2 linked regions of the Struthio camelus genome follow. The protein of the gene in region 1 interacts with the protein of each later gene in a pairwise test. Links are inferred from orthologs where the notes say so. Each region holds a gene or a part of one and is shown on either strand. Other genes may lie near its edges.

The links.
Region 2: the proteins of SAR1A (region 1) and SLC38A7 interact in binary tests that used the Homo sapiens proteins (3 or more experiments, as listed by UniProt). The link is inferred for Struthio camelus from reciprocal best matches to the Homo sapiens genes SAR1A and SLC38A7.

What each region holds. Positions count from the first base shown.
Region 1 is NC_090948.1:40,234,359-40,241,826, forward strand, and holds the start of SAR1A (small COPII coat GTPase SAR1A), read left to right. Parts: upstream 1-4,337; 5' UTR 4,338-4,425; intron 4,426-4,647; 5' UTR 4,648-4,664; coding exon 4,665-4,722; intron 4,723-6,875; coding exon 6,876-6,995; intron 6,996-7,468. Other genes in the region: PPA1 (inorganic pyrophosphatase), read left to right, coding at 654-739, 965-1,034, 2,026-2,065, 3,886-3,917. UniProt on the Homo sapiens protein: Small GTPase that cycles between an active GTP-bound and an inactive GDP-bound state and mainly functions in vesicle-mediated endoplasmic reticulum (ER) to Golgi transport.
Region 2 is NC_090951.1:23,112,287-23,120,093, forward strand, and holds the start of SLC38A7 (sodium-coupled neutral amino acid transporter 7), read left to right. Parts: upstream 1-4,742; 5' UTR 4,743-4,830; intron 4,831-5,682; exon of another isoform or gene 5,683-5,897; intron 5,898-6,194; 5' UTR 6,195-6,393; coding exon 6,394-6,660; intron 6,661-6,916; coding exon 6,917-7,115; intron 7,116-7,211; coding exon 7,212-7,356; intron 7,357-7,807. Other genes in the region: GOT2 (aspartate aminotransferase, mitochondrial), read left to right, coding at 123-288, 1,346-1,496, 1,984-2,106. UniProt on the Homo sapiens protein: Symporter that selectively cotransports sodium ions and amino acids, such as L-glutamine and L-asparagine from the lysosome into the cytoplasm and may participates in mTORC1 activation. The transport activity requires an acidic lysosomal lumen.

The sequences.
Region 1 (7,468 bases):
AGAACCTTGTGCGCGTTCCTGTAGTGTTTTATTTGGCTTCGTCTGTAGTATCAAACCAGGATATTTATTCCTGGTGTTTGTGCTAACAAAGGACTGTGTATGCTTCCTTCTCTAGCTGACAGATTAATGCTTGAGTACATACCACTTTTTAAGAAAAAAGTGAGATATGATTGGAAGCGGATTCATTTTTAAATACTTGCAAAGCTAGAGTAGGTGCGTGTCTCTTCCTGTTGACGTGGGCAGCGGCTGAGTGACTTGCTTAGAGCGGAGGAAAGGCTGCAGGTGGGTCAAGATCCACTCTTGTCTTTAGACAGACTGAGTGGGAGGAGCAGGAGGGGGGTGCTTTTGTACTGTAGCCCTTGCCCGAGACTAGAATATCTGGATTCAGTTTCTCTTGGCTTCAGGCTCACTAGGTGACCTTAGCCTGTCCTCCCATCTTGAAGTTAAAACAGTTCATGTTATAAAATCCCCATTGTTTCAGCTGCTACTCATGGAAGGCGTGAAAGAGGTCTCTTTGGGTACCTTCCTGAGTTAGAAACTATCTAAAACCAGCCTGTAAATACAGGCCTCTCATTCCATGTAACTGATAGTCTGGGGCACGTGGTCTAGTATTTACATAATAACGCGATGTTTGTTCTCATCTTCAACTTTAGGATTTTGCAGTGAACGTCATCAAAAGCACTCATGAACACTGGAAAGCTTTAATAGCTAAAAAAACGGACGGCGGGGAGATCAACTGGTAGGTGAACACTGATGTTACAGCACATATTTCTTTCTCCTAAACAAACAGGGCTGAAACTTGCTTTCCTGACCATAGACTTCCTTTCTGTTAGGAGCTCACTGACTCTGCTGGTCTTCCCCTTAAATTTGGCAACTCAAGCGTGTTTCTTGGTATTCCATTGTTTAATACTCTCGGAGGAGAAACTTAGCTTTCACGTTCTCACAAGTAACCTTTCTCTTCTAGCACGAATCTGACTGTGTCAGACAGCCCTTTTTGCTGTAGTCAAGAGTGTGCAAAAGCTACTGTGGATGCAGTAAGTACAAATTGGTCCAAGTATCCTTCCCCCAGCTTCAGTGTCGGACAAAATAAAGTCATTTGTGTGGTACCATAAGCAGTCCTCCCTCTATGAATGGTGTTTTGAATACTCGGAATTTTTCGGATGACTGGACCTGGCACCTGTTTCTGGCTGAATATGAAGAAGGATGTAGAGACAGTCAGACATTCTTCCAGAGCCGCCTCCTTGCCCTTGGAGTCATTGGGGGGATGGAATCCAAAACAGGCTTTCTGTGGGGCTGAATTTCTGAACTATAGCTTTGCTCTCAGCTGTTCAAAGACTGTTTAAGTATTTGACCTTTCAGGAGTTTCACAGTACGGGTCACCACTTCTGATTAGAAAGCCTGACTTCTGAGAGACTGGCAGCCAGGGGCCCTGGATCCTTTATGATGAAAGGCTTGAAGTCAGTGGACTGGCCCCGTCCAGATTCGGGACTCATCTGAGTCTCCCTAAGCTTGTGAAACACTGTTATTGGCAACTTGAAAGCAGTTAGAGGAATGGGACAGGAGAATCAAAAAGAAACTATCGCCTCGATGTATGGAAGTGTAACTAGAAAAGTCGTTTCCACTTGTATTCCACCAGCACGTTGTGTGTTGGTGGGTTTTTTATCTTCTTTTTAAGAGCAGGCTACAGACAAGTGCATAGACAGTGGAGCGGTAACTGTGTTTTGAAACAGATGGCTTTACAATATGAGCGGAGTGAATGGCTGCTTGTGTTTAGAGCAGAGCACCTCAGGCACGTAGGACACGTACAGAATGAGGAGGCTGAGTGGTGATGACAGGACTCATGTTGTACGTGAGCTTATTTTCTCATAGTTGTCCAGCACTGACTGCCACAGAGCAATTTATGCAGCCTAGATTTTACACTGCGCTCAGTGTGCATCTCGAAATGATGCTTAGTGAGCTTCAGGTGTAGAGTTAAACTTCAATTGCTCTGACAGTTTCTCCCTGCTAATACTCTTGTTGTTTCAGGCACCACCATGTAAAGCTGCCAACCCAATCCCACCTGAAGGTAAGTCTCCAAAACCCACGTTACGTTGCAAAGCAGAGTGGAGGCTTCCGCCAAGGAATTATCAATAGGAAAATGAGGGTCTTAACTGGTAGTTATGATATGGTTCTGGCACTAGGAAAAATGAAAGCCCTTGTCGGATCTAACTTCTGTCAGCAATGCTGTTTAATACCTGAATAACTTCTATTGTTGCCTTAATTCCTTATTTAAGTACATGAGGCTGGTATATGAGCAGTAAGTAGGAGACCTGAGATGCTCTAGTTTGCTCCCAAAGGCACGTGGCTCACGACAGGTCCTTGGAGCTGGAAGAAAAGCACTTCAAAGGACTGAAGTGTTACAATAGCAGCAGAGCACTTTCATCAGTGCCTCAGAAACGAGGCTTTTTTTTTTTTTTGTATCAGTATAAGGAAAGTGCAGGTGAACTGAAGAAGGAAAGTACCTCCTCTCCATGGAGAGGAGTGGTAGAAGCTAGTCATGAATTTGGTACTCCAGTTGCTGCTTAACCTGCTGATCAGAATCCTGTCACTGAAAAGTGTCATCTACAAGCTGGTAGAAAGGCTCTTTGCATGTGTCTGGAACGTAATGTGTCACATAAGGCACAACTCCGTAAGAAAACTGCAACTGTGGGACAAGTCCTGGTCAGCTGCCTTCCTTTCCTTCTGCGCGAGGTTGTGGAGGCACCTTATGTGTGAAATCAGGATGTTGCTGTAATAGGGACAAGACCCAGGGGCAAGTAAGACCTAACGACGCTGTCTCGCGAAGAGCTGAGAACTCGCAGCTGTATGGCTGGAGGATGCCTGAACGAAGCTGTCATTTTGAGTCTCTTTGTGGGTCACGTGAAAAGAAATTGAAGGCGCGTAATTGTGTCTTCTGTGCTGGCACGGGAGTCTGCAGTAAAATGAGTTTTACCTTCCCGGGTCAGACAGCTGAGCGTCAGGGAATCCGAGCTAGCTCTGGATTGCTGCCCTCACCCTGCATGAGTCATGTGCAGTTATCCCCTTTTGGAAGTAATGGTAAACTGAGTAAGGGTGACTTCCTCAGAAAACAAATACATGTGCAGATATCAACTGGGCTGCAAGAGCCTATTGGGAGTATGAAGAAGTTAGCCAGTGGAAACCCCTGAAGTAATATGGAGTTGAAGGGGATGCCCACAGTGCTGTGCTTGTCAGATCATACCAGGAGTTTTGCTGTGTTGGCTCACTCGTAGTGTTTATGAACACGGCTTGCTGCAGCGGCACGTGGGATACCACTGTCCCTCCTGCACACCGAGGCTGGCCTATGCACGGCCGCCTGGGGAAAGGTGAAAAGACCCCTTCTAACGCTTCTGTACTGTAGCTGATGGAAATGCTTGTCTGCTCCGCACAGCGAGCAGCAGGGAATCATCTTGTGAAGGATGCTGAGGAACGGCTCCCTGTCTTGGAGAGCAGTGGGTCATAGCTATGAAGATGCCTTAAAACTGGCATGATGAGGCCTTCACTAATGAGCAGTCCATCCCCTGGGTCCGCAGGAGTAGGACAGGTAGACTACTCACCTCAGCGCTGAGGCGTAAAATTCAATCGCTGTCTCTTAATTTTGCTTCTGTACATAGCAGAAGCGTTTTGGATGCTAGGCTGTGCTGTCTCACAGAAAGGTGCTGTGGGCTGCAGAGGAAGCACTGCAAGCGCCTGAGCACAGCTTCGACCGCTCCGGGAGCGAGGAAGGGAGTAGCAGTTGGCCCCGAACCAGATGGGATAGTGCTGCTAGGGAGGCTTGTAGCCTATGACTGTATTTGATAAGTGTGTGGCTGCTTGAGGATTAAATCTCCTTTCCCTTCCTCAACACAGTTGACAGGTGGTTCTATTACCAGAAAAACTGAAGCTGAACGACGGATGGTGGAACGACTGCGTTCTTCTCCCCAAGAAGCTACTACGTGCGGGAATAGAGAAATAGCTTCACTGTCGACAAGAAGACCTTGCCTGTAACTTATTCTAATTAGACTTGTGTACCTACCCGCCACGTGTGTGTCGGTGTGTGCAGGTCGCGTGCAGGCCGGAAGGTGCGACTCGTGAAACCGGGCCTCGCGCCGTCCCCGTAGAGGGGGACGGGGGGGGGGGCGCGGGCGGTAGGCGAGCAATAAAAGGGCTGCCGAGACCGGCACCGGCGCCGCCTCCTTCCTGCTCCCGGCCCGGGGGAGCCGCCGGCGGGTCACGTGGGGGGAGGCGAGGGGAGGGCGGGGCGGGGCGGGGGGCGGTCCCAGCGGGGCCGACGTGGGAGCCAGCGCGGCGCCGGCGCGGCCGGAAGGGGCGGGGCGCGCGGGGTGACGCATTTCCGGCGGGGAGGTGGCGGCTGCCGAGGCGGGGGAGTCGCTGGGGCCGCGGCCGGAGGTGAGGGGCGGCCGGGGCCGGGGCCGGGGCCGGGGCGGCGGCGAAGGCGAAGGCGGCGAAGGCGGGGCCTCCCCCGCTTCCCCCGCCCGGCCGCGGCGTCGAGGCGCGGCGGCCCGGCCCGGCCCGGCCCGGCCCGGCCCGGCCCGACGCGCCGCCTTCGCCGTGCTGGCGCACAGGCGCTGCCCCTCTCACCGGAGACGCGTGTCGGTTGTGTCCCTGCAGGCGCGTCGTCTTCAGCCATGTCGTTCATCTTCGAATGGATCTACAACGGCTTCAGCAGCGTGCTGCAGTTTCTAGGTAATGCCAGCCGCCCCTGCCAGCTGGGGTAATTCTTCTTCTTCTTCCCTTTTTTTTATTTATTTTTTTAAAAAAGCCCAGAGCTCCCCTCGAGCTGTAGGGCGCTCTGCGTTCCCCAGCTGCTAACTCTCTGCGCTCGTTTGGCTCCTGTCGGTTGCTGATACAACTTAAAAGACAGCGGTTAAAGTGGATCTAGTCGGGAGCGCGTAACCGAGCAAACTAGGCTAGTGTGAGGTCTGGTTAGAGACTTGCCGCTTGATAAACCTTCCCCCCCCCCCCCGCCCCCCCCCCACCGAGAAACTTTTAGTATATCTTCAAGTTGGTCGGCTCCCACCGGAAAACGTGAGGGCCACTGGGCTGACGCCAAAGGCCCGTCTAGTCCGGTCCCCTGTCTCCAACAGCAGCCGTTTCTGGCAAGAAAGACTAACAGAGTCATAGAAACGTTTACGACTTAGCGGATTGTTAATTCTTATCGGGACGTGCACGGTGCACAGCCAGATGGTTTGTGCAGTAACCTGATATAACTCAGTCTTCCCCTTCACTGCAAACATTAAGGGTAGGGCCTCTCAGTCCTGGTTGGGCAACCGCCTGTCTGCTTCCCAGACCGGTGAAGAAAGGTGAAGCTTAGGAGAGCTGGGCAGAGCAATAACGTGGTTAGGCAGCTGCCTAAAGAAGCAAGAGCCACAGAGCTGCCCACACCCTCTCTGCGTGGGCACCGAGGGCAGTGCTTTTACAGATGTGGAATCCCAGATGTGCGAACCTGGGCCTCCGAAAAGGTGAGGAGGAGCCTTTGTGGACGGCCCGGTAACACGAATGCACCTGAGAGATGCCCGAGGGCCTCGGTGCATCCTGTTGCGAGTGACTTGCCGAAGGCAGACCTGCTGCTTAGTCAGGGAGGGAACTGGTGTAAATTCCAGCCCTCCTCCTGGTATCCAAGCTAACCAGCTCCACCAGAGTTCACGCTTTTTTCTCATTGCTGCGGCCGGCTAGCTTGCTTTTCCTCGAGCTGTCGCTTCCCATTATCGAGCCAGCAAACTTACCAGCACGCGGGGGAGAACGTGCTGGCCGCTGACGAAGGCGCCGTTGCCCAGGCTAGGGAGGCCCGTGTATTTTGGCTGCCTGCTTTACCACGTTGCGAGCAGTTATTTCCTGAGCTGCGGGTGATGGTGAGCCCGTAGGAAGGCTCCTCCTGCCAAAGTCTTGAATCCAACCGCGGTCCTTGCTGGAGGACTAGGTGCCCTCCGTCCAGGGAGCTTCTTGGGATGTAAGGGAGGGAGGTATCCCATGCTCGTGCAGATGCCCCAGGCGGCTGGCTTTTGTGAGGTCTCCCTTATTGCAGGTACGTCAAGGTATCCCGAGTGTCTTCTCTTTGTAATGAACCACTGGAATTTGATGCGATTACTTTATTCCTGACATCCAAATCCAGCCTTTTCTTTCAGTAGCAGTGAAACGGTCACTCGAACGGCTTTATTAACAGTCACTTGCCTACAAAAGACTCTTCTCACAGTTTTCAGGATTTTTTTTTTTTCTTTAAAAAGTCCTGGTGGAAACATGATGGAACTCGCTTAGGGCAGATGCATACCTAGAGTTGGAAAAAAGTCACTGTTTGTGTAAAGAATATGTTGTATTGTTTCATGCTTTGCACTTTTTCTTCGGTAAACCTGCTTACCGTGCTATCTTCTCCGAGTGTATTCCATTTTCACATTTAAATACTCCTTCTGGGTGGCAGATTGATCTGTAATCCACTGCAAGTAAAGAATATTTTCCTGCACGCTGTTCTGATAGGATGTGTCAAACACAGGGGCAGTTCAGCATCTCGATCTGATGCTTCTGTCATAGACACAGCGTGTCCTCAGAGAGAAGAATATGTTATTCCAAGAAATATGACCTTAGAAAACGTCAGTTGTTGTAGGTGTTATCTTGCATTGCCTTGGTAAAAGCCAGGACGTGTTTTTTGGTGGTTGTTGTCTGTTCTGTTTTGTTTTGTTTTGTTTTCCTGTGGTGTTCTCTATCTATTCTAGAAGTACTGTCTATGCACAGATGACGGTAACGTTTTGGGAGAGGGATTTGTGTCTAAAAAGTGGCAAGTATCGAAGCATTTCTGCCTGCGTGCAAAAATAAGCCTGCCGGATTTTTTCTTTACCTTCTTCCAGGTTTGTACAAAAAGTCTGGAAAACTTGTGTTCCTGGGCTTGGATAATGCAGGCAAAACCACTCTTCTGCACATGCTCAAAGATGACAGGCTGGGTCAGCATGTCCCTACGCTACATCCAAGTAAGCCTTCCAGTGACTGAACCCAGGGTGCCCCGTGTAATTTTTCTCTTTAATTACTGAGTCACGTATCGGAGTGTGGTGTTGAAAGATGCCCTAATGATAGCTTTATGCTGCGGAGATGGACTTTAACAGCCTTAAAACTGGCTTTGAGGATGCGGTTACCTTTCACACATTGGTTTCCTGAGCTGAAGTAAATTTGCGTCTCCCTCTCGAATGTGAAACTGAGAGCCCAAGAGCTAACGTGGTTCAGTTCGCGTGAGCTTACCCCTTTTGCGGAGGGAGCGTGTTTCTAATGGGAAGAGTAATGAGGTGTAATAGTTGCAGATTAATAAGCATGTGCTTGAGTGAGGAGGTAGAAGTTTACTTTTTCCCTGTCGTTGTCAGTGGCTGAATTCTGCAGCGTACGAGTATCTTATATAAGGCGTGTGTGTGATGTTAATATACATATACCAAGAAATTCTGGCCATGATAGC
Region 2 (7,807 bases), on another chromosome or scaffold:
AGCAAATGAAGACCCTCTGAGAGAAGGAGGATTCTCATAAGGCTGTGTGGCTTTCAGACAGGTCCTGCCCCAGCCCTTGGTATCCAAGGGCAGAGGCTGGGACCTGACTGCCATTTGTTTAGGGGAGCGTGTGGGTGCCTTCACGGTGATCTGCAGTGATGCAGAAGAAGCCAAGAGGGTTGAGTCGCAGTTGAAGATCCTTATCCGCCCCATGTACTCCAACCCTCCCATCAATGGAGCCCGCATCGCCTCTCTCATCCTGAACAGCCCTGACCTGCGGAAGGAGTGGTAAGAGGGAACCCCTAATGTTCACGGTAGCAAGATGTGAAGTCTCTCTGTGCTAGCCTTGTGGTGTGCTTGCTGCTTGGCAGTGTCACAGGCAGTTCACCGCTTCAGGGGTACAGTCAGAAGCTTGTGCCACTCCTTTGCCCCGGAGGAATGGGAGCCTACTAAGATGCTTGTGTCCTGGCATCAGCTAGGATCAGTCCAGCCGAGCACATGTGGGTTCCCCTTGTGTTACCAGGGCAGAGCACACTAAAGGGGATAAGGCTCCACCGGGATTGAAGGCTGCAGGAGCTGCCTGTCCAAGGAGTGCAGAAGGCTGACTAACGCATTGTAGTCACTTAATATGTCTCACATGGGGGATGTGGAAGTTTAAGTCCCCTGGGAATAAGACAGAAGAATGTAACCTCCACACCCCAAGCCTGCTGCCTGGCATCAGCCTGTGCTGCCCTCCCAGGCTCTTGGTGTTGAGTCCCTGCAGGAAGCTGGCCCTGCAGAACAAAGGCTCGCTGTGTATTGTGGCCTTGCTGGGAACTGTGCTCCTTTGGCAGGCTGACGCTTGTGCCTGAGGCAGGGCCTGACAGAGACATCTCCTAGGTGTGCTGCCTTGGAGCAGGGAATGTCTGCCTGCTCTGAGAGGTCCCCCGTCCTCTCCATGTATCCCCAGATACTATCCTATGTGGTTTTGGACAGTGCTGCCACGAGCCCTCCAGGTCTCCAGCGTCTTTTGGAAGTGAGAGGTGCTGAGACCCTGTTAGCACTGTGCAGCAGCTGTGGAATAAATAAATAGCAGTCACCTCCAGATACCAGGAGAAAGGAGCAGCTCCCCAGCTGGAGCAGTAGGTTCATGCTCTGAGCTTTGCTCACCTGCCTACTGTGTGTGCCACCTAGAGAACGTGTGCCCGTGGACAGTGGTTGGGTTATACATCCTATGTTTTTGGGGGGGGGGGGAGGGTGAGGCTTCCTCAGGCTTGAGGAAAGGTTGCTTCCCAGGCAGTTGGGGAAGGAGCAGTGTCAGTGCATCCCGGCTGTGCTCTGAGTGGTTCCTGGGTTGCCTTCTCAGGCTGGTGGAGGTGAAGAGCATGGCCGACCGGATCATCAGCATGCGAACTCAGCTCGTGTCCAACCTCAAGAAAGAGGGATCTTCCCACAACTGGCAGCACATCACTGACCAAATTGGCATGTTCTGCTTCACAGGGCTGAAGCCTGAGCAGGTAAACACTGTTCTTGTGGCCTCAGGGTGTTTGTGATCCTTTCCAGATGGATCTTGACTGTGCTAAAATGAGCCCATATGAACAGTCCCCCCTCCATGAGGACCATCCTCCAAGCCTGCAGCACTGGAGCATCTTGGAGACCTGTGTCCTGCCCTGCTCCCTGCTGTGCTTATGGAGGTTGAAAGCAAATGTAGCCTGCTTATCTGTCAGAGGAAGCGATCATTTAATGCCACTCTGAGGTGACCTTGAGGGTCAGCTCAAGTGAGGTGACTGTCCTGGCTGAACATCTGAAGTGCTTGTGTGTTGCCCAAGAGCTGAGCAGCATCTTTTTTTTCCTGACATGCACCGCTGGCTCTGCAGGTAGTTGGTGTGGGTTCAGCGCCTGCTGGCATTCGGTTGCTTTTGTTTCTGGCAAACTGGATGGATTTGGACTCTGTTAACAGAGTAGAGCTTGGCCTACCTTTTGAACTCTGCTCTTTCATCCCAGGTGGAGCGGCTGACCAAGGAGTTCTCCATCTATATGACGAAGGACGGCCGAATCTCTGTGGCGGGAGTTACATCGGGCAATGTGGGCTACCTGGCTCACGCCATCCATCAAGTCACCAAGTAAAGGTGTGCCCTGGAGCTGTTGGCCTTCCCTTCCCCTGTCTCTTGTTGCTGATGGGAGAACGGGAGAGGAAGGAAGCAAGCAGAATACTTCCAACCACAGCACTTAACGCCGCTGCTGAATGTATCTTGTAGATGAATTGTTGTAGAGGCCTAGTCAAAATCACCCTACATTGCTGAGTGGGGGCACCATTGCTGGCTTCTACTCCCATCAGAACCATTCTCCCCTGCTGTTCATCCTTTCTCCATCTGCCCCAGCACCCCTCTGCAGTGGAGGAAGCAAATGGTTAGCACCCTGCTATCCTACCAGTGTAGGCACAAGTGCATCCTCACACTCATTTCTCCATGAGAAGGCTTTGTAAGGCTGTTTGCCACTTGCCAGCAGTGGAGGGGCAGCGGGGTGGGCTGAGTGGGAGAGCTGCTGAGGTGCACTCCTGTGACTTCCCCAGCCTGTCCCCGCTGTCTGCAAGTTCTGTCCTCCTTCCCCCTTCTGCTGCTAGGCTTTGGTCTAGCCAAGGGCCAGGCAGCACTGAAGGCTGCCCTCTGACAGCCAGCACAAAGGCTTTGAGGACTTTTCACTACTAAAATCTGCTGCATTCTTGGCTTAGCTCTTTCCAGCTGGGAACCTCCTCTCAGGTGTCATTCACAGTGGTGTTGGTGCGTGAGGCAGGCCAATGTCATTTCTCTAAACCTGCCTGGTTCTCCTGGCTTCGCTCCCATACTCCAAGGTGAAACAATTACTTGCCCCTCAATAAGAACATACTCTGAAAACTACTCTTTGTTGGTTTTTGCCTCTCCGAGTTTCTGTATCAACCCCATCAGTCCTCCCTGCAAAGAAGAGTCTGTGTATGTGTGTGTGTCCCCCAAAGCCATGAGCCAAGATGTGGGGCCAGCCATGTGCACCCTCACATGGGGGTGTGTACCATGGTGTCCCCCTCTTGTCTGCTGTGTTCAGCCAGACTTCGGGTGCTGTTAGAAAGCAGGGAGGAAAGATCCTGAGGGAAGTCTGAGAGCTGGTGACTCAAGAAAACGTTCTCTCTTTTTAAACTGAGACTTGAGAGGGCAAGGGCAGACCCTGCCTATAGGGCAGACCTGGACTCCAATCTTTCATCTAAAGTAAGCTGACACATGGCTGTGTTGAGTTCCTGCTATAATAGTACCGCTGGATCCCGCCCCTTCCACGTACCAAACATTCCCTCTCGGGGATGTGGCAGCACAGGGGATCTCATATGGCCAGTGAAACCCTGTCTTTGAAGGGTCCCCCACAAACAGTGCAGTTCCCACCCAACCTTGTGTCCTGAACGCGCCAGGGCACGTGGACTGAGACTGCTCCAGGTGGCAGTTAGGGTCGTGCAGCTAAAATTGCAGCCTACTCAGCTGAACGTAGCTGTTGTGTTTCTTTTTTTTTTTTTGTTTGTTTGTTTGTTCTCTCTGGGGAGAGTGTGAGTGCGCAAAGGCAGTCTGCCCTGTGCCCAGCCACTGAAGCAAGGTGGAGTTTTTGCTTGCAGCAAGCACAGGTTGGTCCCTAGGCAGACACCAAGGGGATATTTTTGTACCGAAATGAGCTTTCTCCACCCTGTGGCTCTGATCTCCCAACTGACATCTTTCTCCTTTGTGGTTGCACTAGGATGTTTAGCAGAGCAGTCCTTGTTTTTCCTTCCTTACCAGTGCAAATTTGTTCCCCTCAGAGCTGGGATGGGTCTGTCTAGCACATGCTGTCACTGCACTTTCTGGCAGAGGAGGAGCTGCTTACACAAGCCACGCAGGGCTGGAGCCTCCCGTTGCCCCAGAGCAGACAGTTTGCACTTTAACTGCAATGATTGTTTACATGGCCCGATGCCTACAGCCTCTGCCTCTCTCCAATTTGTGCAATAACCGCTTTCTGTGCTGCTGCTCTGGGTGCTGGCCCATCGTGCTGTAGGATGGTGGGTTCTTGTGCTGTGCTCCTGCGTTCTGCCCTGCTCTGGAGCCTGTCTTCCCTGGTTTCGGAGAGCCTTTTTACCCTGTATAATCATTAGGCCTTTCTGCAGCCTGTTCTCTGTTACAATAAAAATAGAGCTGGAGCACGGCGGTTGCTTTCTGCCTGTCCTTTGCTGCCGCCTCCTCTCTGAGCCACTGCCTAGGTGACGTGGCAGTGGCTTACGTTTCAGCCATAAAATGGCAACGATGGCACAGAAGAAGCTGTTTTTAGCAGCTGGGGGGGAGGGGGGGGAGACGGACTGGTGTTTGGGGGTGCTCCTGCTTCTCCTGGCCTGAGGGGCAAGGGGGCTTGGGGCCGTGTTCCCAAGGCCCTCGGATGCTGCAGCCCTGCCTGTGCCGGCGCCAGCAGCAGCTGCTTGTGGCTGCTCCGTCCCAGGGGGCAGCAAACAGAACAGCCCCTCTGTCTCCTGCCCTGCCGATGTTGAGGCCGGGCTGGGCCTGGGGGTGCTGCCGGCCTCCGACACCACACACGGAGGCAGGAGCCAGAGCCGCGGCGGGGAGCGAGGATCGCGGCAGGCAAGGAAGCTGCCTGCCCTTGCTGATGCTGCGCCCCGGCGAGCGGCTGGGAAGGGCCCCGGGCGGGGCGAGCGCGCCAGGCCCTAGCCGCGGGCGGCGGCGGCGGGCGGACTACAACCCCCGGCGTGCAGCGGGCCGGGCGGTGCCGGGGCTGCGCCGCCGCGGGGAGCGCCGGGGCCGAGCGGGCCGGAGCGGAGCGGCGCCGCGCCGGCCGCCCGGGTGAGTGAGGCGGGTAAGGGGCGTCCGCGGTCTCTCCGCCGCCGCCGGGCCGGGCTGGGCCGGGGGGACAGCCAGGCCCGTGACCGTGGGGCGGCGCGGCCCACGCCAGGGCAGAGGGGACAGCGGGCCCGTACGAGGCCTGGGGTGAGCGTGTCTCCTGCCCCGGAGCGACAGGGCAGCCGGGCAGCCCGGCCCTAGTGGGGCGGCGGCGGCGGCGGCGGCGGCGGCGGGGCGAGCCCCTCGGCTGCCAGCGCCTTTCTCCGGCGAGGAGGGAAGCGCCGGCCGCCCCTCAGCCAGGCGGCAGCTAGAGCCAGGCCCCCACGGACCCCACGCACGCCAGCCGACCCGCCAGCCTGGCGACTCGGCATCTCTCCCCCTTGCGCTCCTCCTTCCAGATGAGAGTAGCTGTCGTCCTTCTCCCTTTGCCCAGTTCTGCGGTTCTTCCTCTTTTCCCAGAAAGCTTTGAAGAGGATCTGTAGCAAACGCACGGCAATAAATTGGTTCACTTGGTCAGGAAGAGTCGAAGGAAAAAGAGATTTCTTGTGGCTCTGAAGGTCCCCGTGAGGTCCTGCCAGGCTCCCTCAGTGTCTGCGGAGGGTTTGGAGAGCTGATCTTGAGCTCAAAGAGGCAATGGGGTTAGATCTGGACTGTCCAACTCCCAGGGTCTTTAGTGATGGAAACACCAGTTCTTCAGGTGTAGGCTCTTCTCCAAACGCTTCTGAGACATCTTGTGCTGACGGTCATCCCATGGCAGGCTGGGTGCACATGGGGAGGGGAGGCTGTTTGCGGCAGCGGGTGCCGATCCTGTTTTTCTTGGTTACATGATGTGCCCTGCTGTGTGTGCGGGTCGTTCTCATTGAGCCAGTTCCTGAACTTTACCCAGAAAGCACATGCATGGCAGCTCTTGCAGAGCTTGCAGAATTTGGGGCTGGAAATCAGGAAGTGAGCTGTGACGCTGGGTCTCGTGCCTGCAGAAATGTGAGTCCTGTGATGAGGTCCCAGCTCCCCAGCTGTGTGACCAGGGCGCAATCCACTATCAAAAGGCAGTAGCGTCCTCAACCTGAATTCAGAGGACAAGAGGTGAGTTCTCCTCCTGTCTCCCTCCATCCTGTAGCATCTTTGCTGAAATTAGGGTGCCTGAGTGCAGTGGCCCATGAGCTGAGACCCAGTGAATGGATTTCATGTGTGCCCCTGTCTGATGCCTGGGTTGCTTCCTGTTAATGTAGACTGCAGGACACCAGAGGCTTTTGTGTTGATCCCGTTGGGTTGCCCATCCCCAGGCACAGAGGAGGGGGGAGCCTGCATGACAGCAAGGCATGACGCAGTTTTCCGACAATCCTTAACCAACTCATTGGGCCCCTTTTGTGTCCCTTCTAGGATCAGCAAAGGGATCTTCTGTACTTCTGCACTGCTGTGGTCCCAGCCTGGTTGTTGGCTACTACCCTGCTTGATGGAGCTAGTGCTGCTGGAAACGCTCCTCATGGCAGTTGGCTGAGCCTGGTGTGGGAACACTGGTGGGACGCAGCGGGCAGCGTGTGTTGCAGTAGGAGGGAAGGATCTTGCCACCAGACGGAAGATGGCTCAGGGCACCGGGAGCATCAACAGTGACTACAAGGACTGGGAGTGGAGTGCTGATGCTGGGGAACGGGCCAGGCTCCTACAGAGCCCCAGTGTGGAGACGGTACCCAAGAGTGGAGAGAGCCAAGGAGACAGTCTGGGGGCCACCTCCGCTCTGGGAGCTGTCTTCATCGTGGTGAACGCTGCCCTTGGGGCTGGGTTGCTCAACTTCCCCGCTGCCTTCAACATGGCTGGTGGTGTGGCTGCAGGCATCACGCTGCAGATGGTGAGAGGGCAGGGAAGGGAGGGCCCCATGTTCCACCCTGGGGAGGGGTGCACGGGTGGGAGCTGGAGATCCTGGTGAAGGATGGGAGAGACTGTGGGCCCCTGAGAGGGAGCTCTGCTTGGTGAGGTGTGGGGCAGGGCTCTGAGGGACACCAGAGGTGCTGTGTATGTTTGGGGCTGGGTATCTGGGGTGGCTTCGGGGACCTTGGCATGCCATTCCCTCACTGTGCCCCCTCCATGTTTCCTCCCCTCTCCAGTGCATGCTGGTCTTCATCATTGGAGGCCTAGTCATCCTGGCGTACTGCTCGCAGGCCAGCAATGAGCGGACGTACCAGGAGGTGGTGTGGGCTGTGTGTGGGAAGGTACCCGGAGTGCTGTGCGAGGTAGCTATCGCTGTTTACACCTTTGGCACTTGCATTGCTTTCCTCATCATCATCGGAGATCAAGAGGACAAGAGTAAGTGTCCTGAGGAAAACTCCATTGCCCTCCGTTCTCCTGGAAAGGGGAGATGTCCTTGTCTTGCACTCTGACAGCCTCAGCTCTCCTCCACAGTCATTGCTGCGCTCGTGACAGAGCCTGAGGGAGCAGGGAGCAGCCACTGGTACACAGACCGCAAGTTCACCATCAGCATCACTGCCTTCCTCCTCATCCTGCCTCTCTCCATCCCCAAGGAGATCGGCTTCCAGAAATATGCCAGGTAGGTGGGGAGAACCCTCAAAGGCTGCGAGCTGGGACAAGCTAACAGCCTGGGCCAGCTGGAACCCTCCTGAGCATGGAGACACCCTTTCTGGCCCTGACTCTCTCACCAACCCTTGAGACTTTGGACATGTCCTTCTCCTCCCTGTACCTCGGTTTCCTCACCTGGGAAACAGAGTTGCTGCTGAGCACTGTGCAGACATAACTTAATTCCTTGGGGCCTTTGTCCCTCACTTGTGCTCTCTGGAGGGAAGAGCTGGTCTCAACTGCTTTGTTTGCTGTCTTTGGAATTTGGCCACCCAGCAGAAAGGAGGGCCAGTAAAGGTCCCCTGGGACCCAGGCCCAGGCGGTCTGCAGGCCAGTGTTGCTCTAACTGCACATCCTGGTGTCAATCAGGCTGCTGGAACTGGACCAGGGCTGCCTAGAAACACTGTAGCCATTTGTTTAATACT